Linked DNA regions of Alligator mississippiensis. The protein of the gene in region 3 purifies or fractionates together with the protein of the main gene of each other region. This does not show direct contact. Links are inferred from orthologs where the notes say so. Each region holds a gene or a part of one and is shown on either strand. Other genes may lie near its edges.

Region 1 (9,420 bases), on a different chromosome or scaffold from region 3:
ACACTGGGATCACTGTTGTGATGTCATTACCCATGCACTGTTCACTTCCTGTGGCCTTTGAAAGCTCATGAAGATCTGCGCCAGTTAGTCTCCAAGATGCCATCCTGCCTCTGCTTCCTGCCTGTTCACCATTGCATGGCACAGTTATGCCACAATTGCCATCGTGGTGTCACCAACTCCCCGTTCACTATCACGTGGCAGTATGACGCTGATCACCACTGTGCAATGATCCCCTGTTCACTATTGCCATCGCTATTCTGGGCTCGTCATGGCCGCATCCATTCTTCACCGTTTACTACTGTTGCATTGCACCATTATCCCACGATGAAACCATTCTGCACAACAGTGACTTGGCGTGTGTTCTTGTGTGGCACTGTGATTCTCCCATTGCTGTTGGCGTGTCCCAGCTCTCATTGTTCACTAGTGGGTGGCCCCATTATCCAGTTGCCATCATGGGGTCACGCTTTTCTGCTGTGGTCACAATCATGGACTCTTCGCTGGTGGTGAGTGGTGATCTTGTTCTGTCATCGCCATTGACATGCCCTAGCTTTTGCTGTTCACTATTACGTGGCTATGTTATTCTCTGAGCACCACTGTTGTGTCATGCTTCTCTGCTATGGCATTGTTAATTGACCAGCATCCTGTCCCCATCGTTCACTATAGGTGGGGTGGCATTATTATTCTCTGATTGCTATTACCGTGTCCCAGCACTTGCTGTTCACTATCAAGTGGCCCCATTGTTCTCTCTCACTTATCTACTGTTCACTTGCGTGTGGCATGGTTAGTCTGTGACCATAATCATGCCCCAGCTATTTGCTTTTCTCTATTGTGGTGTGGTACTCTTATTCTGAACACCTCACTATTCACGACGGTTGTGTTGTATCATTATCCCATAATGAAAACTGTTGGTGCTGGTCCTCTCCTGCGCTCATGACTGTTGTGATGCATGCATCTGCAGCTTCCTCATGGTTTGTTCTGTGCTCACAATTGCCCTGCCCTATTCACTCTTGTTCACCATGGCTCCATGGCACGCTCGCTCTGCACTCATGCCTGTTGCATGCTGCTCACTTGTGCTTTCAGGACACGACTGCTTTCTGAGCATAGTGCCTCTGTCGTGTTCACTATTGTCTGCTCGCTATTGTTCCTCATGCAAGGATATCCCTGTTGCTTGCTGTTGTGATGGGGCATCACTGCAGAGTGGGTCCTGTATGCTCAGCCACGGCCCCCCAGACTTGGCGCTAGTGACCAACCCTGGCCCGGATGCCTGGGTCCTATTCTTTCCTTTGGAACAATTGTATCTCAGACAGCAGGGTTCCCTCCCTGGAGTGTGAGACCAGACCCAGACTCCTGGGTCCTGCAGAAGCTGGGTTGTGTGCTGTGAGAGAGCTGTCACAGATGCCTGGGTTCAGTGCACCCTACCCTCCCTCCCAAAACCAGGGGGTTGTGTAAGGCCGGATGGTTTCCCGTGGTCGGTGTCCCAACCTCCGGCCCGGTGCGGGGGAGGGTAGTGGGGGAAGGTGTGTGGGGGAAGGAGGGAGGCTGGGGCACCCCTAGCTGGGGAGCTCCATATTTGCCCCCCTCCCGCCTCTCTACCCCCAGGGCTCCAAGCTGCCCCCTCCCCCCCAGGGCATCCCCTCCCCCCAAACCACGCCCCCCCCTGGGGCAGGAAGCAGCTCAAGGTGAGTGGAGCTGATTACGGACTCTTGAGAAACAGGCCGTTACCCCGGGGCCATGGCGTAACCGGGGCCCCCCCAAGCGCTTGCGAAATCCCCCTCACCCCCAAGCCCTGGGCATGGGCACTACTGGGCCCCTGCCTCCCCATGGTCTGCTGGCCTGAGGACCACCCCGGCCCTATATCTAAATAGGCCCCACACCCAGCCCCCCACCCATGGCTGGTGTCCCCCAAGCTGGGCTCAATAGTGGGGGTCCCCACATCCTGAGACCTCACATGCAGGGGGGGAGGAAGGCTGACTGCCCCTCCCCCATGCAGTCTCTAGTGGGACAGGGACCCACCCCCAGCCAGAAGGGACAGCTGCTGGGGGAGGGGGAGCCCCTGGGGTTCATGGTGTCTCTGTCTTACCCTGCCCCCCCTCCAAGTCCTGGGTTTGGATAGAGCTAGGAGAGAACCCAGGAGCGCTAGCTCTGCTCCCATCCCCCACTCCAAGCCAGCAGGCCTCCCTCCTTTCCCAGACCTGGGAGAAAGAACCCAGGCGTCCCAGCACCCCCGACCCCCACCACGCACACAAACACAGACTGATTCCAGTCCACTCCCCTACCTGAAGCGAGAGCCCAGGTGCCCGGCATCTCCTCCCATTGCAGCCTTGAGAAAAGACCACACGGGGGTGCTGTGCACCCATTCATGGCCCTTTGTCATTCCTAATCAAGCCAATGTATTCCTGCTCCTCTTTCCCTCCTCTCTTTGGACTCTGGAGTCCCTAACTGGGGTCCTTCTTTCGCAGGGGATACCCAAAGTGGGGGTGAGGCCATGCACTCCACTCAGTGCTCAGTCACTTCCTGTAGGTCTTAGGTAAACAGGGGGCTCGGGTGGAATCAAGGAGATCCCAAGGAGGAGGGTGGAGATCCCTTAGGACCCGGCCCCACTGGCGCCTCATGGCTGGTGAATTAAGGTAAGCCCTACATAAATGAAGGGCAACTTCCTACAGGCCCTATGTACACAGGAGTGGTTCTGGGGAAGCCAGGACTCTGCTGAAGATCCAGCAGGGGTGTTACTGGGCTCTTGGTTGCCCTGATTGTCAGCTTGTCAGGTCTAGAGAAACAGGCCCCTTCCTACAGGTCCCATATCAGTAAAGTGACTTCCTGTAGAATCTATGTAAATGCAAGTGGCTTTGGACAACCCCAGGCTCTGAGACCCAGGGTGGGGACTCCTATTGATCCCCTAAGCTGCCAACCCACACTTGGCCCCAAACAGGCCAACTTCCTGCAGGCCCTATGTCAACAGACAGCACCCCTGCAAACACAACTGGCTTTGATGGAATGAGGACACCACTTGGGCCCCAAGGGCAGAGCAGGGGTTTCTTACTGGTCTATTGGTTCCCCAAGCTCCCAACTTCCTAAGGCGGGCGGCAACATGCCAACTTCCTGTAGGCGCTACTTCAACAGAAGAGGCTTTGATGAAAACGGGGGGCCCCATCTTGCGACGTGGGGGGTAATGTGTGTGTGTGTGGCACTGAGTGGGCTCTTCTGGCTGCCCAAGCACCCAGCTTCCTGTTGGCTGCATGTAAATGGGGAACTTCCTGTAGGCCCTACACAAACAAGGGGGCAACTTCCTGCTGGCCCCATGGAAAGAGGGGACCCGGGAACTTCCTGTAGGCCCTACATACACAAGGCAGCAACTTCTTGCTGGTCCCATGGAAACGGCCAACTTCCGGTCTGCTCTACTAAGTAGGGGGGGTCTCCCTCTTGGCTTCGGACAGGCCCGAGCTCGTCCGGAAATGCCCGAAGAAATCACACCAAGGGAACCAATGGGCGCGTTCCGGCAGGGCCCGAAGCTGCTCGAGCACTGACGGAAGTAGCCGAGCGCTTTTGGCCCTCACTTCCGGGTTGGCCCGAGCTCCTTCCGCCCCCCCTTTTCCCTTTTCCCTGAGTCGCCCCCGGAAACTGCCGAAGCTCACTTCCGGGTGTGCGGGGCCGAGCGGAGCACGGAAACCCCCGAGGAGCCGAGGCGCGGGCGGAAACATCCGACGCGGGCACTTCCGGGTGGGCGGAGACAGCCGAGGAACGCCGGAAAGGGCCGAGACCGGGTAGCGGTGAGCCGAGCGCGGCCCGAGGCGCGTCCGGAAGGTGCCGAGGCTAGTGCGGAAGGTGCCGAGCGGGTCCGGAAGCCGCCGGAGCGGGCGGAGGGAAGGCAGCGGCGCCACACAAGATGGCGGACGGGGAGGAGGTGACTCTGGACGGGAGGCCGCTCCACATGCTGCGTGTCGCAGACCTCAAGGCGGCTCTGGAGCAGCGCGGTCTGGCCAAGAGCGGCCAGAAGAGCGCGCTGGTCAAGCGGCTGCGCGGGGTGAGGCGGCGGCGGCGCGAGGCGGCACGGGGTGCAGCGCGCATGCGCCCGGGGAGCCCTCCCCCCCAACCGGCTGGAGTGGGGGGCCCGGGCGCGGCGGGCGGGGGCAAGTGCGCATGCGCGGCGGGGCGCGGGGCTCCCCCCGAGAATGAGGGGGTCCAGGGGTGGGAGGGCGTGGGGCCGAGTGCGCATGCGCGGGGCTCGCAGGGCTGGGGGGATAGGCCGGGCCCTGTGGGGCCTAGGGGCCGTGGGGTACTAAAAGTGTTGCTGGGGACTGGTGGGTTTATAGAGTTGGGGGCTGTAGCCTGTAGAATGCATGGGGGGCTGGAAAAGGCTGCAGGGGTCTAGGGGTGTTGCAGTGGCGGGGGGCTGGCGGGGCTGCAGGTGTCTATCGGGCTGGGCATTTCTTGCAGAGTTGCAGGGCTGGGTGGCCTGAATGGTCCCGGGGGTGGGGGCTGCAGCCGGGGAGGTCTGTAGGACTGGAGAGGGTTGTGGAGGCTGCAGGAGTTTGTACAGAGTTGGGGGTTTGCGCCTGGCTGGTCTGGGGAAGTCTGTGAGGGGCTGGGACTTTGGGGGTCTGTGTGGGCAGGGGTGCTGAAGGTGCCCATGGGAGTTGCCTGCAGACTTGGGGGACTGGGTGGACATCATAGAAGGCAGTCTGGATGTCCTCTATTGAAGAGAAAAATAGAGGATATAAAGGCGCATAGGGTTTTGTATCAATAGAGGACAGAGTAGCAGGAAACTGGAATGTCCTTTACGATGGCCACCCTAGGCCTAAAGGGTCTAGGGGGGGTCCATGGGGAGGAGGCTGAAGGTGTCAGGGGGGCCTGGAGGGGGTACATAAGTTCAGGGGCTGGGCCTGGAGGGTCTAAGGAGGCTTGGAGGGGCTATGTGGGGCTAGGGGTCCTGTAAGGGGTATTGGTTTGGGGACCTGGCTCCCCCAGTTGGTATGGCCAGACCCCCATGGAGGGCTGGAAGGTGCCAGGCCAGGGCCCACAGGCGCGTGGTTGGTAGAACACAGGGCTGCAATGTCCAAGGGCTTCAGCTGGGCAACAGGAAGAGCTGGAGTTGAGCGTGGGGGGCAGCAGGCTCTGGCATCCAGCTGACGGGGTTCTGGGTGGCAGGGGCTTGGGCATTGGCTGGGGCTGGGCAGGAGCAGGGGGTCAGATGAGGGCAGGGGGGAGGAAGATGTTAGGGCTGCTTGGTGGTGGAGGTAGGCCCAGTGGGGGAGTTATCTGGGGCACAGTGGATCTGTGGTCATGCACCTGGTTGTGGGTGGACTAGGCTGGATGGGGGAATGGGTCATTGCTTCTGTGGGGAGGAATGGATGGGGAAGGGTGAGTGAACCTGGGGTATGGGTTGGATTGGTGGGAGGGTTGGGGTTGTCTTGAGGCTGGATTGGATTGGGGAAGGAGGGGTTTGGGGTTGCCTTGGGGCACTTTGTTGGATCGGGGGGTTGGGGTGGGTTGGATGAGGGGGGTCGGGATGGCTGCAAGCTGTGGGTTGGATTGAGTCATGAAGGGCGAGTCAGGGCAGATATGGTCAGCTGGATTGAGACATGGGGGAAAGGTGTAGAGATGGATTTACATGCTTCGTGTTCTGTGGCCTGAGGGTCAGCGTGGGTGGTGACGTGTGTCGGGGCAAGTATTGGATACGGATGGGTTTGGGGGCAGGTCAGAGCCTGGAGTATTGGGGCCGGGATCCTGGGTGAGTCGGATCATGGGTTGGGGTAGATACTGGGGGTGTGTTGGATTGTGGAGGTTTGGGTGGACACGGCTGCATTGCATTGGGTGCTAGACTTGGGGGTGGATCAGCTCAGGTCATGCAGGGCAGCCTGGATGGCATATGTGAGCAATCCAATGATGGGCACCGGGGGAGGGGGAGAAGGCACAGGGACCATCTTGGGGGCACATCTCTGACCCTGCCCTTTCCCTGCCCCAGGCACTGATGCTCGAGAACCTCCAGAAGCATTCAACACCACACACCACCTTCCAGCCCAACTCGCAGGTGAGAGGCCCCCTCACCCCCAGCCTCTCGAACCGCCAGGGACCCCAGCCGAGGGGGGGAAACTCAGGTGTCCGGCCTTGCTCACGCGTCCTGTCCCATCCCATCCCCCTGCAGATTGGTGAGGAGATGAGCCAGAACAGTTTCATCAAGCAATACCTGGAGAAGCAGCAGGAGCTGCTACAGCAGCGGCTGGAACGAGAGGCAAGGGAGGCAGCTGAGCTGGAGGGTGAGTGTGGGGCTGGGGCAGAGCCTAGCTGTGGGGTGGAGGAATGGGTACTTCCAATTGGCTGGGGCTCACATGTCTGCTCAGCCAGTGGGCATTGGGCTTCTTCGGGGCCTGACTGCAGGAGAAATAGGTTCTTATGATTGACTCAAAAGAGCCCCTCCCCCATTGTTTCCATTCCTCCCTTCCCAAACAAACAGAGATTTTCTTTTGGCTGGAATCTCTCCAAGCCCTAACCAGCGGGAATATTCGTTTCTTTATAGTTAGTGCCAGAGGGCAGCAGGGAAAGCAGGGCCCTGTGATTGATTGGGCACCAAACCTATTCATTGGGTATCTGGTTTTATCATTGGACCCTTCCCAGCCTTGTTTTTCTAGTCACTGATGTGGATGTTGCCACCTAGACTAGGAGGAAGGGGCTGGCATGGCTTTAGGTCAAGTAGCAGCCCAGTCATGGGTCCTGGAAGGACGTTTAGAGGGGAGGGATCCAGAAAGAGGAAGGGTTGGCTTGTCTAGGGGAGGATGAACAGTCTAAAAACCATGCTGTGGGATTTGCTCTGAGGAGCTTTGCATGACTTGGAACTCAGCAGCAGAGTCTGGAGCCTTGGGACACATGGAAACCTGTCTGGCAGTTGAGGTCCTGGGTTGAGATACCTAGAACATGTGGTGCTCTTTAGCTCTGAAGCAGGACCTGTGCTGTAGTTCTAGAGCTGGGGGGGGGGCTCAACCTTTGGGCTCTGTGGGCCAGATTGGGCCTTAGGGCCTGGCACAGCCCCTCCGTGCTCCCCATGCACTAGGATTGGGTCTCAGGGGACTAGCACCGCCCCCCTGCGTCCTGGATTGTGTTCCAGGGACTGGTACTGCTCTATCCTGTCCCCCAAATACCAGCATTGGGTCCTGGGGTCCAGGTACCACCCCACTTTTCCTTCCCCCGTGTACTGGTATTGAGTCCTGGGGAACTCGGCATTCTCTTGCCCCCCATCACCCAGTTGTGGCACCCAGCAGTGCTCCCTTCTACCCCCCCATTCACTGGGATTGGGTCCCCAGGGAGCTGGTATCAGCCCTCTCCCACCCTGATTTTGAGTCCCCGGGGCCCAGTGCTGTCCCTCTTTGGTTTTTGCCTGCCAGCGCTGGGGCCCTAGGACCTGGTGCTGCCCTTGTCCAGCTCTGCACACCACCACTCCCCCAATGCCAAATTTCTAGGCCCTGCAAGCCAGATGACATGGCATTGTGGGCTGGAAGTTGAGCATCCCTGTTCTAGACCATCATGTGTTCTTTGCTGATCTTGAATGGCAGGGTTCAACCTGTCCAACTCCCTGGGCCAGATTAGTGGTTCGAGGAGCCACAACATGCGACCTGCTGGGTTCCCTGTGGGTCCAGAAATTGTGTGGTGGTGTGGGCATTACTTAACCCCAGCCTGGCTTCCCTGCTGACACGTGAGCACTGCTGAGCTAGAACATGGGCAGCTTCATGCAGGGGTCAGTTTAGATCCAGACTTCTAGCTCTGTCAGCTGGTTTTGCAGCGGCCTTCCCCACTCCCACGATCCTTTGCACTAACATCAGCAAAGCAGACATTTCCTTTGGCTAGATGATTTAGGGGCCATGTGGGGGCCACTAGCGCAGAAAAAGGGGCTGTCTGTCCTAGAATGTAGGTTCTATACCATGTAGCCATGGAGAGGAGTTGTTCTGCAGTAAGCTATGTCCTTCTAGAGGCTGCACATTGCACCTTCTCTCTTGGTTCAGAATGAAATATGGGGTCTGCAGAGGTGCAGATACTCCAAATTGAAGCGGGGAGGAACAGGGAAGTTGGATCCTGATTCTTGTACCTTTTTATGCTCTGAGTGCTGGGTCTAGAACCCAGGGCTCCCCATTGCAGAGTCTAGGACCCTGGGTGAGCCCTGTTCTGGGGGGGGTCTAGAACTCAGAGGATGTCTCCTGTGTGCCCTACAGCCCAAGGGGGCTGTTGTGGGGGGTATCTGGAACCCAGGGGGTATTGTAGGGTGAGGTCTGCAGGCCAGGGTGTGCTTGTTGCACAGGGTCTAGAATCCAGAGGGACTGTTGGGAGATCTAGAACCTAGAGGCACTTGTTCTGGGGTGTCTAGGTCTTGGGGGTGCCTGGTTTGGGGAGGCTAGAAACCAAGGGTGCCTGTTGCTGGAGAGTCTAGAACTCAGGTGTCTGTTGCTGGGGGATGTCTCCTAGAACCCAAGGTGCCTGTTGCTGAGGGAAGGGGGGGTCCTGGGATGGGGTCTAGAAGGCAGGGGGTGCCTGTTGTGCGGAGGGTTAGAGGATGCCCATTTGGGGGTTAGAACTTAGAGGGCCTGTTGTAGGGCCTAGAACCTTTGGGATGTTGTGTGGCTTAGAACCCGGGTAGTCCCATCTTTACAGCTCCCTTGTGTTTCACTCCTGCAGGTAAAGCCTGTTCCATTTCCCACGAGAGGGAAGACTCTGACGAGGACGGGGCCAGGCGCCAGGAGCGTCGCTCCACCCGGGTGAAGCAGGTGAGTGCTCCATCCCAGGGTGTTCGAGTGGGGGGCATGATGCCTGTGGGAGCAAGGCAGAGGGTTAACATGGGAGATGGGAGGACACAGGCAAGAGGGCAGGCCCTGGCTGGAGCTCCAATCTCTCTCTCTCTCGCTCACTCACAGGCCCGCGCTGCTAAGCTCCCGGAGAGTGCCCAGGCCGGGGGCCGGGATGAGCGAGAGGTGCCCCCCAGGGGTCGGCGGGGTGCAGCCCGACCATCTGTCAAGGCAGCCACTGAGGAAGATGAGGAGGAGGAGGAGGAAGAGGAGGACGATGAGGAGGAGGAGGAGGAGGAAGAAGAAGAGGAGGAAGAGGAGGAGGATGTCAAGGAACAGCCCAGGGCCCTGGCCCCTGTGCAACAAAGCGGGGCGGCTAGTCTGGGAGTGCCCCCAGAGACCGAGGACCTGCCAGCCCCAGCCCTGTCTGCATTGCCTCAGCTGCCGGACCGGGCTGCCTCTCCTATCCCTGTCCCCCTAGAGCCAGCTATTTTCAGCTCCTCAGGGCTTCAGGAAACGGGGCAGCCTGTTGCCTCAGAACCAGAGGGGGCCCCATTGGCAGGGCTGCCTGACACAGGTGTAACCAGCCCTAGTCCCCCTGAGCTCCCTGAGAGCAGAGCAGTGCCAGCCCCCCAGGAGCCAGGGGCACCCCCAT
Region 2 (9,420 bases), on a different chromosome or scaffold from region 3:
TGGCTGCTGCAGAGGACAGAGCAGGAGCAAGAGCAGCCCTGACCTAAACTGCTCTGCCCTGGCTCAATTTGCTGCTGTCCTGGGTGCATGTGTAGACACTGCACCCGGAAGTAGTTTATGAAGGAGCAAATTTCTCTGCACATTGAGCCACATAAATTGCAAGTGTAGATGCATCCTATTTTAGCTAAAGAAGCACCTGCAGTAGCTTCTATCAAAGAAGGAAGAAGAATATTTCTGTGTTACTCGTGTACCTGTTTCATCATCTGTAAACACCGGCCTAAAAATGCATGCAGTTTTTTTTTTTTTTTCTTTATTTAATAACTTTTCCTCAACTGAGCTCAATATTTATCAGCTTCAGTCCTGGATATGATTATGAGAGCTCAGCTCTCAAAGCATCCAATCTTCTAATGTAGTTCTTTATTAAAATAATTGAGGCTTGAAATTAACTTTTAATTGCTTAGAATCTGGTGCCGCCCACATGCAAAGTGAGTAGCACATTTCCAAGCCTTTTATGGTCTGTTTGTTTGTTTGCCTTTAGCCAACAACTCAGGTTCTAACTGAACATTAAATATTGCAGGAAGGGGGAAGGAATTGGCACAGAAGTATTTCAACTATGGGGAAAAAAAAGAATAAGGACATGTTGTATTTAGTTATTTAGAAGGAGATCTGAATGTGCTGAGATCAAAGGGACAGAGAAATTACCTATGGTATACTGTGGTCTTCAAATCTATTAGGTTCCTCATTCTAGTCTATTCGTTTCTGAAGCACTGCAAAAGGCTGGTGCAGGCATATGGTAAGGGAATAGTCAGACCAAGGAAATGTATGCTGCTTGTAGGGCTGGTTAACAGCACGGCATTACACGCGTAGGACTCATCCAGACTGGGGCCCAGTGCAAACCCCCAATGTCAACGTGCTTCCCTGCTGCAAAGGAGCACTTATAATTGATTGCAGCAGTAGATGCTTTCATCTGACACTGGGGCAGAGCATCTAAATAGTATATTGCACCCACGCAGGTCTCACCCTCCCTATAGAGATGCGCATACACACAGTCATAGATACAGGCACGCTCATTCCCACAAGGGCTACATTTCTGTGTCGTCTTATTTTTTTTAAGAAATGGTATCATTGCTCATGTTTTAGCAAACACGCCGTGTTATGTTCAGCTTTGGAGCTGTGAACAGCATTGTGTTTTCGGTGCACAGATGGCGACGATTTGTAAAATCACTTATGCTTCCCTGCTGAGCAGTTACTAAAAAAGAACAAGGGCATCGAGCACCTTTATTTCTCACCGGGGTTGTGTTGTCCACCTGGCAACCGCAGCAGCCTGGTCTGCTGCGGGAAATGCTCCACCAAGCCCTCCCTTTAGGGCAGGAGAAAGCGTGTGTTTCATGACGCTGCACACGCGTGTCTGGTTCCCAGCGCTGCCGTTTCTCCTCTAGGGATCATCCCACTTCTCTCAGGCCCCGGATTTGCCGTCTCCGTTTCTTGGCACCACTGCAGGGCGGCAAAAGCCAGCAACGAATGGAGGGGTGCTTGCGGGGGTGCATGGGGGGTGTGCGTGTGTGTGTGTGTGTCTGATAGACATGGGGGTACTGCGTGTGTGTGACAGACATGGCGTGGGGGGACAGTGTGAGGGTGTGTGACAGACATTTCATAGGTTGCATAGACATTAGGGCTGGAAGGGACCTCGGAAGATCAGCGAGTCCAGGCCCCCGCCCAAAGGGCAGGACGTCAGCTGGGGTCATAGGATCCCAGCAAGATAAGCATCCAGTTTCATCTTGAAGGTGTTCAATGAAGGCGCTTGAACCACCTCCGGTGGCAGGCTGTTCCAGACCTTGGGGGCTCGGACAGTAAAGAAATTCTTCCTTATGTCCAGCCTGAAACGGTCTTGTAGTAGTTTGTGACCATTCGTCCTCGTCATCCCTTGGGGCGCTCTGGTGAACAAACCATCCCCCAGATACTGGTGGTCACCCCTGATAAACTTGTAGGTGGCCATCAGATCACCCCTGAGCCTGCGCTTTTCCAGGCTAAAGAGCCCCAGGGCTCTCAGCCTGTCGTCGTAGGGTCTGCTTCCCTGAGCTCTGATCATGCGCGTGGCTCTTCTCTGGACTCTCTCAAGCTTCTCCACATCCTTTTTGAATTGTGGAGCCCAAAACTGGACGCAGTACTCCAGCTGCGGCCTCACTAAGGCCGAGTACAGGGGGAGAATGACGTCCCGGGATTTGCTTGAGAAGCATCTATAGATGCAAGCCAGCGTTTTGGTCGCTTTACTAGCCGCAGCATCGCATTGCAGGCTCATGTTCATCTTGTGGTCAATGATGACCCCCAAGTCTCTTTCTTCCATAGTGCTAGCCAGCATAGCACTGCCGAGCCTATAAGGATGCTGCGGGTTTTTCTTCCCAAGATGGAGAACCTTGCATTTATCGGCGTTGAACACCATCAGATTCTTGTCCGCCCACTTGCTGAGCCTGTCCAGGTCAGCCTGGATCATCCACCTGTCTTCTGTGTGGATGCTTTGCCCAAAGTTTGGTGTCATCGGCGAACTTGGCCAGTCCGCTTCTGACTCCAGTGTCCACATCATTAATGAAGATGTTGAACAGTACGGGTCCAAGGACAGAGCCCTGGGGGACCCCACTGGTCACAGGACACCACGATGAGTGACTTCCAACAATGACATGGGACAGTGTGAGAGTGTTTGCATGTGTGTGCACATGTGTGTGGTAGACAGAGCATGAGGGAGAGTGTGTGTGTGTGTGTGTGTGTGTGTGTGTGATAGACACAGGGACAGTGTGTGTGAGATAAATATAGCATGGGGGACAGTGTGCATGTGTGTGTATGTGTGTTAGACATGGCATGGGGGACAGTGTGTGGGTGTGAAAATATGTGTGTGGTAGACAGAACATGGGGACAGTGTGTGTGTGCGTGATAGACATGGGGGACAGTGTGCTTACGTGTGCTAGGCATGGCATGGATGGTTTGGGTGTGGTGTGTTTGTGTGACACGGGACAGTGCGTGTGAGAAATATAGGATAGGGGAGTGTGTGTGTGTGTGTGTGTGTGTGTGTGTGCGTATGATAGACATGGTGTGAGGGACAGCGTGGGTATGTGCACATACGTGCAGTTGTGTGGAAGACAGCATGGGGGGACAGTGCGTGTGTGATAGAAATAGTGTGGGGCAGTGTGTGTGTGTGTGACACGGGGCTGTGGTAGTGCACACTGCGTGTGTAAGACATGGATGGGGTGCACATTGTGCGTGTGTGTGACACGGGGTGTGTGGTGGTCCACACTGTGTGTGTGTGTGTGTGTGTGTGTGTGTGTGTATGTGAGAGACACGACACAGCGTGTCCACACACGGTGGGAGCGCGGTGCACTCTGGGTGTGGACGACCCGTGATGACGCGCTGCCCCTCCCCCTCCCTCATTCCAATGCCACAGAACGGGGCGGGCGAAGCCGCGCGAGAAGTGCGCGTTCTCGCGGGATTACAGCGTGGACAGTCGCTCCCCCTCCCGGGCCTGGCGGCGCTGGGAGGTGAGCAGGGAGCGGGCAGCACTCTCCCCCCCGTGCGCATGCGCGGGCCCGTTCCGGTAGCGCGGGGGGAGCGGCCGCCCTTCATGGCGCTCGGCGGCGGCTCCGTTCCGGGCTGGGGGCGGGGGGGCGGGGAAGGGCAACAAAGCGCCGCGGCCGCCAGGTGAGGACCAGGAGCCTCCCCCCCTCCCCTCCCCGCGCAGGGAATGGGCCTCATCCCCTCCCCCCACGGGGGGGGGCAATGGGAGCCCGACCCAGCCACACCCCCTCGTGGGGCTGTGGGCCAATGGGAGCCCTCCACAGCGCCCCGCCCACCAATCAGGGGACAGCAGGCTGCTTGCCCCGCCCCCGGCTCCTGGGGTGGGGGTGGGGGCACTCCAGCTTGCATTGCCCCTGCTCGGGGTAGGAGGAGGGGAAGGGGGGGTGCATGTATGTCAGTGGGGGGGGGGGGCGCGTGTGTGTGTGTGTGTGTGTGTGTGTGTGTGTGTGAGTGGGAGGGCGTGCACACGCGTGTGTGGCTGGAAGCCCCGTGCTATAAGCCGTGTGCGGAACAGGGGGGCTGGGAGGAGGGCGCCTGGCTCACCCTTTCCCTGCTCTCTCCTGTGCCCAGGGCATGAGGCCGGGAGACGGGGGCTGCCATGGGCGTGCAGGACCGGCCCCAGTGCTTCTTCGACATCGAAATCAACCGGGAGCCAGGTAAAAGCGGGGGCATCCTCCCGCCCCTCTGCCCTGCCTGCGGGCAGACAGCTTGCCCTTCGAGAGGGGGAAGCACTGGCCTTTTGGCACCCGATCGAGCTGCGCAAGCCGTGTCGTTTTGCAGAGAGGTCGATCGGCGCGGGGCGGTTTGGAAGTAGCGGGGGGGTAATCCTGCCCCAGCCTGGGCTTGGATTAGATGTGGTCCCTGGAGGGCCCTTCCAGCCCTTCTCCCCGATTCTGTGATTTAATATGCCTTGAAGAGCAGCAGTCCTGGGTGGCTTCCTAAACGTGGTTTGGCTTGTGTCTCGTTCCGGCGCCTGCAAACCGCCCAAAAACGAAGAAAACTGGGGAGAAAATTACAGCCGTGCAGTTTATAAGCTCCTAAAGCGCATTTACTGCTCTCCTTAATGCGGGTCGTGGACGGACTAGGTGGCCTAATTGGTTTCTTTCATCCCTAGCTCTTGGTTTTCATCATCGTTGTTTCTGGCTCAGATCAAGTGTTAACCTGCCCTTCGTAGGTGATCTAAGTTTTCGTCCTAGCCTGGGGGTTTTGCGGGTATAGTCTTCATCCTATCTCTTCCCCGTCTGCTAAATGGTGGTATTTAATCTTTATGATAACAGCTCTTATAGGCATTGAAAACCACGCAATTTTAGCTATTAGTGCTTTCCTGTACACCCCTACCGAAATAATAAAAATTCTTGAGGCTTTCAGTTTGACTTTTCTGTGATTTCCTGAAAGCTTTTAACTTCAAAATAATGGCTTGGATCTGTTCCTCCAAGCCCCCCCCCCCCCCCTTTACTTCTATATGCAGGGGCTAATTGAGGATATGTGGGTTGCTCCCAATTTTTCCTGAAATCTTCTGGAGTAATCTCTGTATCTGCAGGAGATTGTTATAGTAAGCACAGTCAGCACCGCTCACCGAAAAAAGCACTGTTCTCTTTACTGTTGTACTGTTCCAAAAACAGGTGACGGTGCATTAAACAGAACTTCATTATTCCCGCAACTTCAAATTTGCTCTTGAAATTGAACGGGGAGCGTTTGTTTATAACATCATATTTAGGAATTAGGGGTACTGGGGTGCCAGTGTGTCTCCAGTTTTTTGTCTAGTGGGTTCATAACTAAGTGATACAGTTGCCATCCTAAAGTTTTTGCTTCTTCGTTCTTTGCTCTTCTTTTTGTTTCTCCAGTTCTGGAGTTGTTTATTGGATCACATTAGTTTTTGGTTTCTCTGTTCTTTTCCTGCTTTGTGTCTCTTCCTTCAGCCACATTTCTGCTTCCATTTTTATGTCCCTTGCTACCTTCCCTGCCCTTTCTTATAATCATTTGTTTTGCATCCACAGGAAGAAATAGAGTACCAAGCTGCCGCTTTCCATTCCTGGCTGGCTTCGGTTGGTAACGTTCTAAGAGCGCACAAAACCGTATCCAGCTTTGATATCACTTCATATTAGTGGTGCTGAGATGCAATACTTTTATATCCAGCCTTTCCGCTTAATGCAGAGCTTGGCTGTATAGAGCAGGGGTAGAGTTTTGGTCCTGTGCAGTGCTGACTTCATTGCTTCTCTAAAGTTGAATGAACCCCACAACTACACAGCAAGTTGAAACCTGGCCATATAGTTACTGAAACTGATTAATGATTTACAGTTTTGGGGGGAAAACCATGCTGACTTGCAAACATTAAGTTCAGGTCTTATAAAGATGTGGTTCTCTCCCTTGGTGTATAATTATCCTCCTGAGTTTGCCATAAAATTGTGCTTTGAATCCAAGCTTTCATTCGAAATAAATAAATAAAGTTAACTCTGGAGCCCTGTTGGTTGCAAAGATAACCTGCAAAGTCTGAGTCAAATATAAGCACTACAGCAATGTGTGCACACACTGATAAACAATGTGTACTATTCTTTCTGTGTTGGTAAGATATTAATTCAGCAATCTGATAAAAGCTTAAGTGTCAAAATAACTAGTGATTATACCAATTTTTAGTATTAATATAACGATAATGTGCTTTTTCATCATTGGGTTTAGGGAAGATGTTGGGGAGGGAAGCACTGATACATTTAGTTATCAAAGTTGCAGTAGTGGGTAAACAAACATCAGTTTTCTTCCTCCTATACTTATGGATTTTTAAAGTGACTTTCTCCCGGAAAATGGAGGAACTGGATATCGTCTGTAGCATCCAAAGCTTCATCTGTCTCCTGGATCTTAACATGCGTAGTTTGCTATAGCTTTGTGGTCCTGGTAGCTCCAAGATGTCTTCCACGTAACAACCAAAACAGACAGCCTTCCTTTTAACAGGCTTTACAGAGAAGTTATTCATTGCCACCACAGGTATCTGCAGCAATTCAACATATGGGAGCAGTGTAAAAGTGATTTTAGTGTTTAAAGTAGATAGAACATCTCCCAGGCCAGCCAGTATAGCATCTCTTGTAAAGGGGCAGACAGATTGGAGTGGACTCCCCTGCCACACATTTAGATCTATAGTACAAATAATACAAGGGGCAGGAGTTGTTAATAATAATAATAATAACAACAACAACTCTTTTAGCCATTATAGCTTAATTCAGGTAATTTAATACTGATCATCATAATTTCTATTTTACCAATAGGTTCTTGAATTAAACTTTTTATGGCTAGTATTTGCACTATGCTATAGATTGTATTCCATGGCTGTCCAGCTGGCTGCCTGTGGGTCGCACGTGGCCCATGACAGGTTAGCTATTGACGTGGCCCATCCAGCTATTGTTCCCCTCATTGCTTTGACTGCAGCTGGGGTCTGCAGATTCTTTCCCCCTCCTTTGGCTTCTGCTTCCTGCGCCTGCCCCAGGGGTGGTGCAACAGCTTGCAGCGCAGGGGCTCAGGATGCCTCTGCAGTGCAGCTGGGGAGCTTCTGTCTAGGTAGATGAGGGGTACGGTGCTGGAGTATGTGTGCAGCATGGTGCAGCTGGGGGGCACGTGTAAGAAGGGGCATCCATGCTATGAGGGAGCTGGGGAACCTGTGGCTCATGCTGGTATAGTCCACGTGGCATGCAGCTCCTAGCTGCTTACAAGTTGGACGGCCCTGTTGTTGTTTCTTTCAGCAAGCTTTGGAAACCAGTGTTTTTCACTGCAACTTGAAATTTTAATTACTGCCAGGAAGTTTGTTTTGTATTTCTTTGTCATCATGTTTGGTGTGTCACAAAACCAATTGCAGTATAAATTGAAAGTATACCAAGAACGAGCACTTTACTTCCTAGTTATGCTACTAAAATAAAATAATACAGCTTATTTGTTCTTGGTATTCTTTTTTACCTTTTTTTGTAAATCTAATGGGGAAAAATACTAAATTGTACAAAACATGAAGATAGACTAGTTTACAGGACTTGTTTACCCTGATAAATCTGGAAGGGTGGTATACATGCACTAAATATAATACTGTAATTTAAAAACCCAGAGGTCAGTTGTGTTTTAATGCCCTAGATATCTAAAGTCTCTTTATCCAGTCTCTTCATCCTCTGGAAAGCATATGTCATTTAACTGTCTCATTTGCTGTGTCCCATTCCTGCTTTTTCCCCTCATTTCAACTTATTTTTGTCATTCTTAGTCTTGCTTGTTCATTCTGATACTCATTCCAGTTTCCATTTTTTCTCTTCTCATTTATCCATCCTTCCATGTGGGCATCCCCAGTCAATCAGTTTTCACTTCTTGTTCAGTCCCTTTTTCTTTCTTCTAGCCTTATTACACCTGGTGTGTATGCTTTAGTATTTAGCCACTAGAGTCGTACATGCTGCCTTGGTGGAAGTAAGTGTTCACCATTGCAGATGCATTTGGGAAGTAATAGGAAGGGAATTATGCTCTGGGGTCTTCACTTGTCTTTCAGGGGGCAGATCAAATGACTATGAGAATTAATAGATGAGATGTCTGAGACTGCAGAGTAGAGAGCTGTGCTCACCAGCAGTCTGAGTGAAACCCTGCAGAGATTTGAAATAGAGTATATAAAGCAAATTAAGGTTAGTAACTCAAATGGAGACTTAAACAGAAATTGATGCTTGGAGAGGACAGAGTAGTATTTTCTTACATTTTCACATAACTTACTCATTTGCAGAAAAAATAATTTTCATAACCCTAGTCATCTTAAAGTACTACTGAATCTGGTCACGCTTGTGGGTAGCACTGAAGACCGCTGACTTTACTTAATAGAATAACCTAGAAAAAGAAAAGTAGGTGGTATTTTTTTAAATTTTATTTTAACTTTGTGATTTGGTTGATTTCTTTCCCCCTCTGCCTCCCATAATGTGTCAGACTTCCAGGAATATATTGTGGCTCATTTTCTTTGCTCATTAGCACTAGTTTAAATAATATTTTGTATGTGCCCTTCAAGCTTGTAGCAAGCTGCTATTGCAGATCTCAGGCAGAAGTTAAGAGAATGATATACAACATTCATCATGGGCCCACACTTCACCGCTCAGCAAAGGGCTCTTGGTGATTAGAGAGACTGCTCTAATTTTCCTTGGATCTGGTTTGAACTGAGGTGGGAGGCTGGTCTTGTAAAAGGCACATGCAGAACAGATTAGATTAAAAAAAACTAAAGATTTTTTTTTTTTTAATATTCAAATTCCTTTTTGCTTTAAATTAAACCTAATTTAAAACTGAAACACTACATTAAGTCCCAACCCTTACTGTAATCTAATCTAGTAAAAAATGTAACAAAAATGTATCTGGAGCAAATATGCATTGCTTGAAAGTTTTAAAGGAAATCAAATTAATTAACTGGAGGAAGTCACTGACTAAGCACCTGGAACCAGAGTTGGTTGAATCGGTAAAACCGTTTTGATAGCGGGTGCATCTACTTAATCTTTCTTACAAATTTAGTTTAGTTAAGTAATTCACTCAAAGTTGAGAAATTGATTAGGATCCAGAAAAGCAGGAATCCCTCCCTCCTCCCCCCCACTGCCGATCTATGAACAGAATACTATGTGCTTGATCGCTGAACAAACAGAGATCCTAATCTTGAAGGACGTGATGGTCAGAAACCATCATCTCTATTTACAAATTACAGACAATACTTTCTTTGTTTAATAAATCAGTTTTAATTGCAAAACACGTTTTGATAAAAAGCAAACAAATGTGCTGGATGCATAAAATCAGTTTAACTAATAAGCACATCTTTAAAAAGTTGACGTTCTGTGGGGGGTTTTAAATTCCAGTTTCCATCAAAAGCAACTCAAC
Region 3 (9,420 bases):
TGTCAAGACAGATCTCATCTCATCACCCTGGTAGTTCAGTTTCCATGAAGAGACAGTACTACAGCAACAACACATTCTTTTGATTAGCAAGGGACGCAAGTGTTCCTGCTCAACCACACATCTCTCTCCCGCTCTTCCTTGCTAATGTAACAGTGACAGACAATGTATATGCTTTATATTAGCTTTTCCCCTCTCCATCTTTGTATTCAAAGGATTTCCTTTAAAATATATATTATATCGATTTAAGGGAATATAAAGAAAAACCAGCATGGACACTAGAAAAATGTTACAGCTAAAAGCAGGTAGGGCAAAATTTACAAAAGTTCTTTATTTAAAAACCCCAGAGCGTATAAAGGTGATCCCACTATTCAAAACACATTCTTATACCTACCGTTTGAAAACCTGCATCACAACCCATATTTACACCATAAACCTTAGTTTTATGTGCATAATACACAACATAAGTATATACATAAACATATATGAAGACCATATGCACCCACAGAACACAGCTACAACTGAGGAAAGTTAGTAACTGAAGTTGTATTTCCTATATCACAAAGTAAAACTCAGGAGAAAAATGTTTGAATATAAGCAAATCTAAATGTTTCCAAGAAACGGACTTTTTTCTAACAGGTTTCACAATGATAAAGTCTTGACTGTTTTCTGTTTCATACAGGAGCTCAAGAGTTATTTCAGACAAACAACGGTACAAAGTTTTCATAAAGAATTTTTAAAAATAGTGCAAACTATGGTTGAAACACTGTTGTCACCGCCTCAAGGAAACCATCGGTATTTAATGCAGCATCCCAGTGAAAGGACTCGTGGGGCAGTGGAGATGTCAAGACAACAAAGTGATCAGTTTCAAACCAGACAGCCTCTACCAGCCACAGTTTCAAGACACGGTAGCAACATGCTGCGGTAGACACCATGCCACAGTATCATAACCGAAACCCAAGGAAGCATTTCCTTGTTGTTTCAAGCTTCACTGCCTATTGCAAGTACTCTGGGGAAATGCCCGTTCCTGAAGAGTCCTTTCAAAGCAAACTGCCTACTCAAATGAGAAACAGAAAACTTTGCATCACACCTGGTCTTTTAACAAACAACCCAGTCAAGTCCTCTGCTACGAGATTAGTGTAAGCGTACGATTCAACAAATCGTATCAAGTAACTGGACAGGTGACAAAGCATACCACTTTTTTCTACCCAGGATTCCAGTCAAGTGGTGATTTCAAATGGGTTGCTGACAAACAAATTTGTAAGAATAGCCAAAAAAAATTGCTATTTTGTTCTGCGGTTTATCATTGTAGGACCTTATTTTACAATCTGTTAAATAACTTCAACTCCAAGGCTTTCACTTGCAGGTGCCCGCCTTCTTCGTTAGAGATAATCAGCTTAAAACAAAGGCGGATTTCCGGATAAGCTTAACAAGGTTCTTAATGACAGAATACAAGTCGGTCAGGAGTTCCCCAAAACAAACTAAAACAAGAACTGATGAGCAACAAAGGAAAGACTTTAAGGCAATAAGCAGCATCAGTGCTATGATGCTCCAACATTCGTTACCAGTTTCAAGTTCTACTGCAAAAAAAGACTTTTGGAATCTCTTCCAGATCCGTTAACTGTTGTCAGACTTCTCCTCTTCCTCCACTTCCTCCTCCTTCGCGTCTGCCTCGGATTTATCTGAAGATTCGTGGAGAAGAACGTATTCCCTGCTGCTGAACCCAAACTTCAGCACGTCCTTCTCCTTCAGTTCGTAGTAACGCTGAGGTTCAATCCGTTGGTTATTTAAGAAAGTACCATTGCCGGAGCCAAGATCTATGATATAAGGCCTTACTCTGCGGCCAACTGTACCATCAGCCCGCGTATACTCCACAAGCCTGGCAAAAACAAAAAAGACACCTCTTTACCTACAATCCTGAAATGCATCCTGCCCTCTTCATGCACTCATTTGGCCAACTGTTGCTAAAAAGCTCCCTGACCCCAGTGCTACTCCTTGCCTGGGCGGGGGGCTCCAGGCCAATCTTGGAAGTGCCATCTGGAAGCATGCTTTGCCCACTTGCACCAACCCTCAAAATGCAGCATCGTCACCATCTTAGAAGAGCTCTGAGTGCCAACCAATGAGCGTGCCCCAGACCAGTACTGGGGCACAGGCTGTGGGCTCCTCTAACATGGCAACATTGGATCACTTCCAAGATGTGGCTAATCCAGAGGCAGCACGAGTAGGTGAGGCATGTTTCTTGTATCATGATTTCCCCAAACACAGCACGGAAGCAGTGTAGACACGCTCCAGCTACTGCACCAGCTCACCTGCACGCCCGATTTACAACCTGCCTTACTTAAAGGTTGCTTATGGTTAGATGCGAGGAAAGACATGACTGCTGCTTAAAATGGCACACACTATTTGGTACTAGCATTCAGCTATTGCTGATATAGGAGGCATCATTTACAGCTTTGCTTGGATGAAAAGGATCTTGAACACAACTGCTTTCACTTTTAGCCCCCAGCATAAACCTTCCCCCCAGACGGGTGCAGTGAATACATACCGATACTGAAACACAGCATGCTGCTTGGAGCAAGATGGATGGTCGATGGGGATATCGGCAATTCTTCGGTGCCGGCCCAGGAGGTAAGCGCTCTGCCTGTGAATGTACATGACTGGGAGCACCTCGTCATTCTTAAAGGGGTAGAGACGCCATCGTTTCTTTGGAATCCGAGCTTCTGGGGGCTCGCTGTATTTAATCACGACGCCGCGGAAAGTGTTTGAATCCTCTAGAAGTGCGCCAGACAGTTCAAAGCTTGGTTTCTCTTTGTTTGCTGGCTCTTTGTCTTTAGTTTTACTGTCTGATCTGCCAAGTTCAGGGTTGCCAAGTTCAGGGTTGCTCGCTTCGTTCTTTTGTCGATTTTCACGTCTTCTCTCATCGTTAAATTCCCTCTCTGCTTGCTGCTCACGGAGGTTCTGGGAATCCCTCTCTCTCTCGTGACCTCGACCTCCAGGCCTTTCACTGGAATTTTTCCTTCTGTCCGAATGGTCTCTGTGTCTGTCTCGCTCTCGTCTGTGTTCCTGTTCGGGCTGGTCTCTGTGCTTTCGTTCGTCGTGTCCTCTGCGGGAATGATCATCTCGCTCCTGGAACAAAAAGACATTAGAGTGACCTATTCAGAATTAAGGGAGAAAGAAAAGGCAGGGAATGTTGTTTAGTCTTTAGAAAAACAAATCACAATTTAATATGAGAAAACATACAGACTCAACACACGCTGTATACAGACTTTTGCTGAATTAAGTTTTGATAACATGACTGACTGAATGATCACTGAATAAATAATTGTGAACTCAAGTTTCAGAAATGAAACACAGGCAGAATTGGTTTTAAATGATTTTACTCTAAAATCAGAAGTTCCTTAATTCTTAGCTGTTCTGTCTTAGTGTAACTCAAAAATGATTCAGGTGCCATCATGTTAGGTGCTGCGTACGCAGAGGGCAAAAAGTATCGTTGGCCAGCACAGTTTGAAGTCTCACAATAAAGTACTAGATAACAAACAGCTCTGTCACTTCCACACATGGTAAAACACTAATTCAGCCAAATTTAACAAGTGTTACTCTACTGCTGATATGTACTAACACAACACTTAGAAACACTCTCAAATTTCCTTATTCCTTTTCCTTTCCACACTACAGACACTTGCAGAAATGACGACTCCTTCGGAGATCTTCTGGCTCATCGTCTTACTCCCCACCCAAAACTCAGTAGCACAAATTTTCCTACTATCCTAATACACCAACAACTTTGAGAGAATCTGTTCGTGAATCACCTCATTTCCCAATGCACCAAATCTTGGGTCCCACACAAATGCCACTGTTCTGCAATTCCAGTTTTAAATGATTAGTGATTTAATCAACAGGACAGGAGAGGGAAGGATCTCCTTTAGAAGAGCAAGCACATGCCTGTTTGGAAGCATCCTACTACTTTCTATTGCTGCCGAGAGGCCCCAATTCAACACGCTACACGCTGCGCTGTGCTGTACACCCCTCCCCCAGTGTCAACACTATTCTGGGGAACTGGACCAGCTTAAAGGGCGAGGCTGCATGAGTGACAGAGGCCAGATTAACAGGTAATCCCTGCAAGCGCTCAAACATTCGAGGCAGAGTTTGTGATGGAGCTGGCTGTACTTTTGCCCATTGCTGCAAGATAACTACACTCTAAACTTACGAACGATCAAACTATCACCTGACCCCCAGGTGTCTTTCCTGCCTGGTGCAGGGGACTGGACCCGATGGTCTGCCGAGGTCCCTCCGACTTTACAATCTATGAAAAAAACCGTGGTTATCAAGTAAGAAACTAGTCGCCCCACCTTCTTCAGATCCTGCTGCTACAAATTAACCCGCACACCTGCTCTGTATGGCTGCACAGGACCCCTGGGGTTTCAACAGGTTATAGCCAAAGTAACAAGCAGGATCAGGACCTCCCCGTTAAATATATTACCTGCTTTACTTTGACCACAACATGATGAGGGCTTCTGCTTCTTCGATTGCGAGGAGACTTGCTTCTTCGACTGGAGGATTTATTTTTTCTTTTGCCCGGTGATCTTAACAAAGCAGAACAAAACACGACACAACTGAGCTGTCTGGCCCACGTCACGCAGAGACAAAGTACGTTTGTGCAGCGGTTAAGCAGCGATTGAAGCTTGACCTAGTAAAATGGACGTTAACAAGCTGGAGGCTTCAGAGCAGAGGAGAGAGGCAGGTGGACGAGGCAAGCGCAGGACCACGAAGCTGCCGAGGCGGCCGCGAAAAAGGCGACCGTAAACGTCTCTCTCAAACGAGGCACTTTCAGTCGAAACGGAGATTTCACGCGACCACAAAGCCTCACCTGCCAGGCGGGGTCAAGCACTCCCGAAAAGCGCATCCGCACCGGGGCGCGGATGGGGACGGACTCGGGCAAACCCTGGGGGCTGGAAAGCTGCGGCACGTGTCGCCTGGCACGGCCACGGCCACGGCCACGAGGGGACGCGACGACGGCCTGCAATCCGCCGCGAGTGTCAACCTCAGAGGGAGGAAAAGCTGCCAACGCCAAGGAGCGACCTGGGCACCAGAGCGAACGGAGCGGGTACAGCTCGCCTGGGAGCCGGGACAGGGTTTGTAGCCGCCGGGAGATGCCGGCCCCCTCCCAGCGCTCCACTGACACCCCTCCCCGCCGACACCCCTCTCCACAATTAAACATTTTAAAGCACGACCGAGACCAGCGGCTCCTCGTCCGCGGCGCGGAGACCCCCGCCAGCCGTCACCGCCGACAGGTTTATTGTAACGCCTTGACGTGAGAGAGGCGCGCGGGGGGTGCTCGAGATGGGATCGTTTTAAACCGGTCGGAGTCGGGGAGACGTGGATCGGCACGGTGCCGCGCTGCTGATCGCTACGCGACGGGCGGACAGACGGCCGGCCGGCCGAGGAAGGAGGGCAGGGCTGTGTCCGGTCGGGAAAACACGGACGAGGCGACAGGAAGTGAAACACGTCCCGCGGCCCCGGTGTCCCGTCCCCCCAACCCCCCCGGCGTGGACCTGCTCTCGCGAAACACGCGGGAAACGCCTTTGCGGCCTCCGTAGCCACAGCTGCCTCTCCGGGGGGGGGGAGGGGTACCTGCTGGCCCTGTCGCGGCTGCGGGCGGCCTGGTGCGGGCCGCGCCCCTCGTCGGCCGGCGGGGACTGGCTGCCGCGGGCCGAGCGGGCGCGCCGGGGGCTCCGCGGCTCCTCCCGCCGCCGCTTCTTGCGGCCCCGCTCCAGCTCCGCCGCCTCCATGGCTGCGGCCGGGCCGGGCCTAGGCACCGCGCCGCATCCGGATGCTGCCTTCACACTTCCGCTTCCGGAGGTGAACGGCAGCAATGGCCCACTTCCGCTTCCAGGGATCCCCGCCGACCCGGAAGTGCTCCCGCTTGACCTACCCCTGCACGGCGCTTCCGGGGAGCCAGGCCCCGCCCCGCGGCCCTGCCTCAGGGCCCGCCCTCGCGCCGCCGGGGAGGGCAGAGGAGGGGAGGGCGCGTTCCCCCCCCCCCCCCCCGAGAACAGCGCCAGGTGTAGCACGTGCGGACAGGGCCGCATTGCGCATGCGCCCTCTCCTCCCTCTCAGCGTGCTGACGTCACGGCGCCGAGGCGTTGCGACGCGTCCCGGCTGGCGGGTGGGCGGGTTGCCATGGTGACCGTACACAGCGCCGGGGCCTGGGGCCGCCGCCATGATCCCCCCGCCCGACTCGCTCGTGCGCTACGAGACCCCCGCGCTCGTCACCCGCAACGCCGACAAGCGCTCCCCCAAGGTGGGCGTGCATGGGGGTGGGGGGAGCACAGGGGAGGGCTGGGGGGCAGAGGGAGGTCGGCGGGTCCAGGGGGTGAGTATGGGGGGGCAGGGGGGTGAGCACGAGGGGGAGGGGCGGTCTGGGTGTGCAGGGATTGAGCGTGGGGGGGGGGGGGTTGGGGGAGGTCGGGGGGGCCAGGCCCAGCCGGGGGCACGGTCGCAGCTCACGTCCCGTCCCGTGCGGCGGGGTCGGCAGGCGCGGGCGCTGAAGACGCTGTCGCAGCCGGCGGCGGTGCCAGGCCCGGTGCCGCCCCCGCCCAAGGCGCGGTCTCCGTGCGCGGCGGCGGAGCAGGCGAAGCAGCAGACGGAGGAGGTGCTGAACGCGATCCTGCCCCCGCGGTGAGGACGGCCCCGGGGGGAGGGGCGGGGGGGTCGCCGCCCCGCGCCCCGGCGCGTGACCCGGCTCGCGGCCAGTCGTTCCTGCGGCCCGGCCCGCGTCGGCCGCACGAAGCGTTTCTCGCCCGATCGCTCCTGTGATCTTTGCATCCGCGGCCCTTCTCCGGCCACTGCCCCGGGCAGCACACATCCCCGGGCGGACGCCACGGCCGTCTGAACAACCCCGAGGCGCTCGTGAAACGAGCACTTCCCATTTGCTCGGAGATCTGCTTGGTTAAATCCCCTGCAGAGGCAGGTCCCGAGCGGTCGCTGGTCGCGGCCAGCGCTCTTACAGCGACGGGGCTGTAAAGGCGGCGATGAATGTCTAATAATGAAATCCGTGCTGGTTTTGTGGTGCAGAGAATGGGTGGAAGACAATCAGCTCTGGATCCAGCAAGTGTCGTGTACACCCAGCACACGGATGGACGTGCTGCATCTGCAGGAAGAGCTGGACCTCAAGCTGCAGCAAAGACAGGCTCGAGAAACCGGGATCTGCCCCGTCCGCAGGGAGCTGTACTCGCAGTGCTTCGGTCAGTGAGCTCTCCCGATCCCTAGCAGCACGAGCCAAAGGCACATGGGACTGAGAGCAAAACACTGGAAGTGGCCGAGTAGACGAGCTCGGGGGAATGGCAAATGGAGATCTCCCAGTAATACTGTGGGCTGTGGTCCAGCCTCGGCCAGTTGGGAACAGAGGTTATTACCATCTACTGCGTGTAGGGGCACCTGTGGGTCTCGGGTCGGTCCCAGGCGCGCAGGTGTACTGCTAGAACAAGCAAGCTCTACAAGGACGTTACTGTGGCAGCAGGGCATCGGCAGGGTTTGTTTCAGATTCGCTTGGTAGCGAAAGACTTATTCAGACCCATCGCTCTGATGCTGCAGTAACTCACAGATGAATCCAGGCAGTTTGCTAAACGTTTCAGTGACACCGTGCTAGTCCTCTGCCTGCCACAGCCCAGCACGGGACACTGTGGGAAGGCACCAGCCATAGGGGTAGGGAGAGTGCCGATTGTTACCGATGATCTGTTCATTTTTTACCAGTAAGAAGCTTCAGGCCTAATCGCTGACCTCAGAAGCCTCCGTGTCGTTATAGTTCTTGTGGGAACTTTGGCAGGGGGCTGCTTCAGGCCCTTGTTTTTCCTGATGCCCACATCCGTTTCCCCCTCTCATCTTCACTTCCGCCCTTTTTTGCTTAAAGACGAACTTATCCGTGAAGTTACCATTAACTGCATAGAGCGGGGAATGTTGCTGCATCGGGTCCGAGATGAAATCCGAATGACCATTGCTGCCTACCAGACCCTGTACGAGAGCAGCGTTGCCTTTGGCATGAGAAAGGCGTTACAGGCTGAGCAAGGCAAAGCAGATATGGAGAAAAAGGTAATTGGGGCTGCTCGCTCCCGCGTGCTCCTTTCTGCACGGGGAGAAATGAGCTAACCTTTGTACCCGGTCTTTCAGGCTCGGTAGATCACATTCTGCCGTAGGTGTTAGAGCAGTCTGACAGGTGTTTTAAAACGGGCTCCCAAGGGAGGTGGTGCTCTCCCCTACCCTGGGGGTCTTCAAGAGGAGGTTAGACGAGTATCTAGCTGGGGTCATCTAGACCCAGCACTCTTTCCTGCCTATGCAGGGGGTCGGACTCGATGATCTGTTGAGGTCCCTTCTGACCCTAACATCTATGAATCTATGAATCCCCATTTCTTACATTTGAGTCACTTTCCCATTTCACAGATAAACGTGTTATTTCAATTTTCCACTCAATTCAGTTTTTTCTGGTTCCACTGGATGGCAGTAAAGCTCATCCAAACAAACCTTTTTCTCCCCCCCCCCGGCCTATTTATAATATAATATTTATATTGCCGCATAGAGTGTTAAACACACAGCTGTGTCTTAATTGTACTCCCAAAGTGTAACAATGAATGCAAGCAAGATCTGTGTTCATTTCAAAGATTGCAGAGTTGGAAGAGGAGAAGAGAGAGCTGGAAAGACAAGTGAATGAGCAAAAAGCTAAATGTGAAGCTGTTGAAAAACGTGAAATTGAAAGGCGGCAGGTAGAGGAGAAGAAGCATGGTGAGGAGGTCCAGTTCTTGAAACGAACCAATCAGCAGCTGAAGGTCAGTAAAGAGACCCCCACTCCCACCTGCAAGTGGTGGTGGGAAGATAGGGAGACACGGAAATATTGTTTGCGTCTTTGTTTCACTTTCTTATAAATAAAAAAAGCCCAAGTTCCAATTTAACTGACACTAACATTGTGCTTTCGCTGAACCCTCAAACCTCCCCGCGCTTCTGTAGGAGGAAGACGATCGCAATAGTAGCTCGAGTGAGCCCAGCCTTCTGGTGATCAGTTGGCTGAGTGGGGAACACATTAGGCCCAGCTGGGGCTGAGATGCAGAGACAGTTTAGGCTTACAGATCTTTAGGTGATCTTAGAGTTTGCACTTGAACACTGATAGTTCCTCAAGGACCAAGTTCCTGCATGCACCTGACTTGAGAGTTACCTTAGGTGGCTGTGAGCAGAAAATACCAAGTTGCTGAGAATGCACTGCTCCCTCAAAGCCGTTTAAAAACAGAACAGGATGTCCCACGAAGTCAAACCAGGACCACAGGGTGACTTTCTTTGCTATTGGTCTGACACCTTGACAGTTCTCTTTGCACCAAGAGACACGGTAAAGAGAACAGTTGCCAGAAGGATGAAACCCCTGTCTTTTGGCACAATAGA

What was found.
Region 1: the proteins of SNIP1 (region 3) and ACIN1 purify together in Homo sapiens (affinity purification with mass spectrometry; 3 studies listed by BioGRID and IntAct, counting the BioPlex papers as one, with this or other methods). This does not show direct contact. The link is inferred for Alligator mississippiensis from reciprocal best matches to the Homo sapiens genes SNIP1 and ACIN1.
Region 2: the proteins of SNIP1 (region 3) and NKTR purify together in Homo sapiens (affinity purification with mass spectrometry; 3 studies listed by BioGRID and IntAct, counting the BioPlex papers as one, with this or other methods). This does not show direct contact. The link is inferred for Alligator mississippiensis from reciprocal best matches to the Homo sapiens genes SNIP1 and NKTR.

The regions. Positions count from the first base shown.
Region 1 is NC_081830.1:7,375,202-7,384,621, reverse strand, and holds the start of ACIN1 (apoptotic chromatin condensation inducer in the nucleus), read left to right. Parts: upstream 1-3,760; 5' UTR 3,761-3,883; coding exon 3,884-4,021; intron 4,022-5,542; exon of another isoform or gene 5,543-5,728; intron 5,729-5,962; coding exon 5,963-6,028; intron 6,029-6,142; coding exon 6,143-6,254; intron 6,255-8,658; coding exon 8,659-8,747; intron 8,748-8,894; coding exon 8,895-9,420.
Region 2 is NC_081828.1:213,340,831-213,350,250, forward strand, and holds the start of NKTR (NK-tumor recognition protein), read left to right. Parts: upstream 1-3,611; 5' UTR 3,612-3,687; intron 3,688-4,134; 5' UTR 4,135-4,162; coding exon 4,163-4,220; intron 4,221-9,420. UniProt on the Homo sapiens protein: PPIase that catalyzes the cis-trans isomerization of proline imidic peptide bonds in oligopeptides and may therefore assist protein folding. Component of a putative tumor-recognition complex involved in the function of NK cells.
Region 3 is NC_081829.1:910,415-919,834, forward strand, and holds the start of SNIP1 (smad nuclear-interacting protein 1), read right to left. Parts: upstream 5,913-9,420; 5' UTR 5,787-5,912; coding exon 5,629-5,786; intron 4,581-5,628; coding exon 4,478-4,580; intron 3,124-4,477; coding exon 2,543-3,123; intron 1,877-2,542; coding exon 1,615-1,876; 3' UTR 1-1,614. Other genes in the region: DNALI1 (axonemal dynein light intermediate polypeptide 1), read left to right, coding at 6,218-6,298, 6,533-6,675, 7,072-7,241, 7,907-8,085, 8,652-8,816. UniProt on the Homo sapiens protein: Required for pre-mRNA splicing as component of the spliceosome. As a component of the minor spliceosome, involved in the splicing of U12-type introns in pre-mRNAs. Down-regulates NF-kappa-B signaling by competing with RELA for CREBBP/EP300 binding.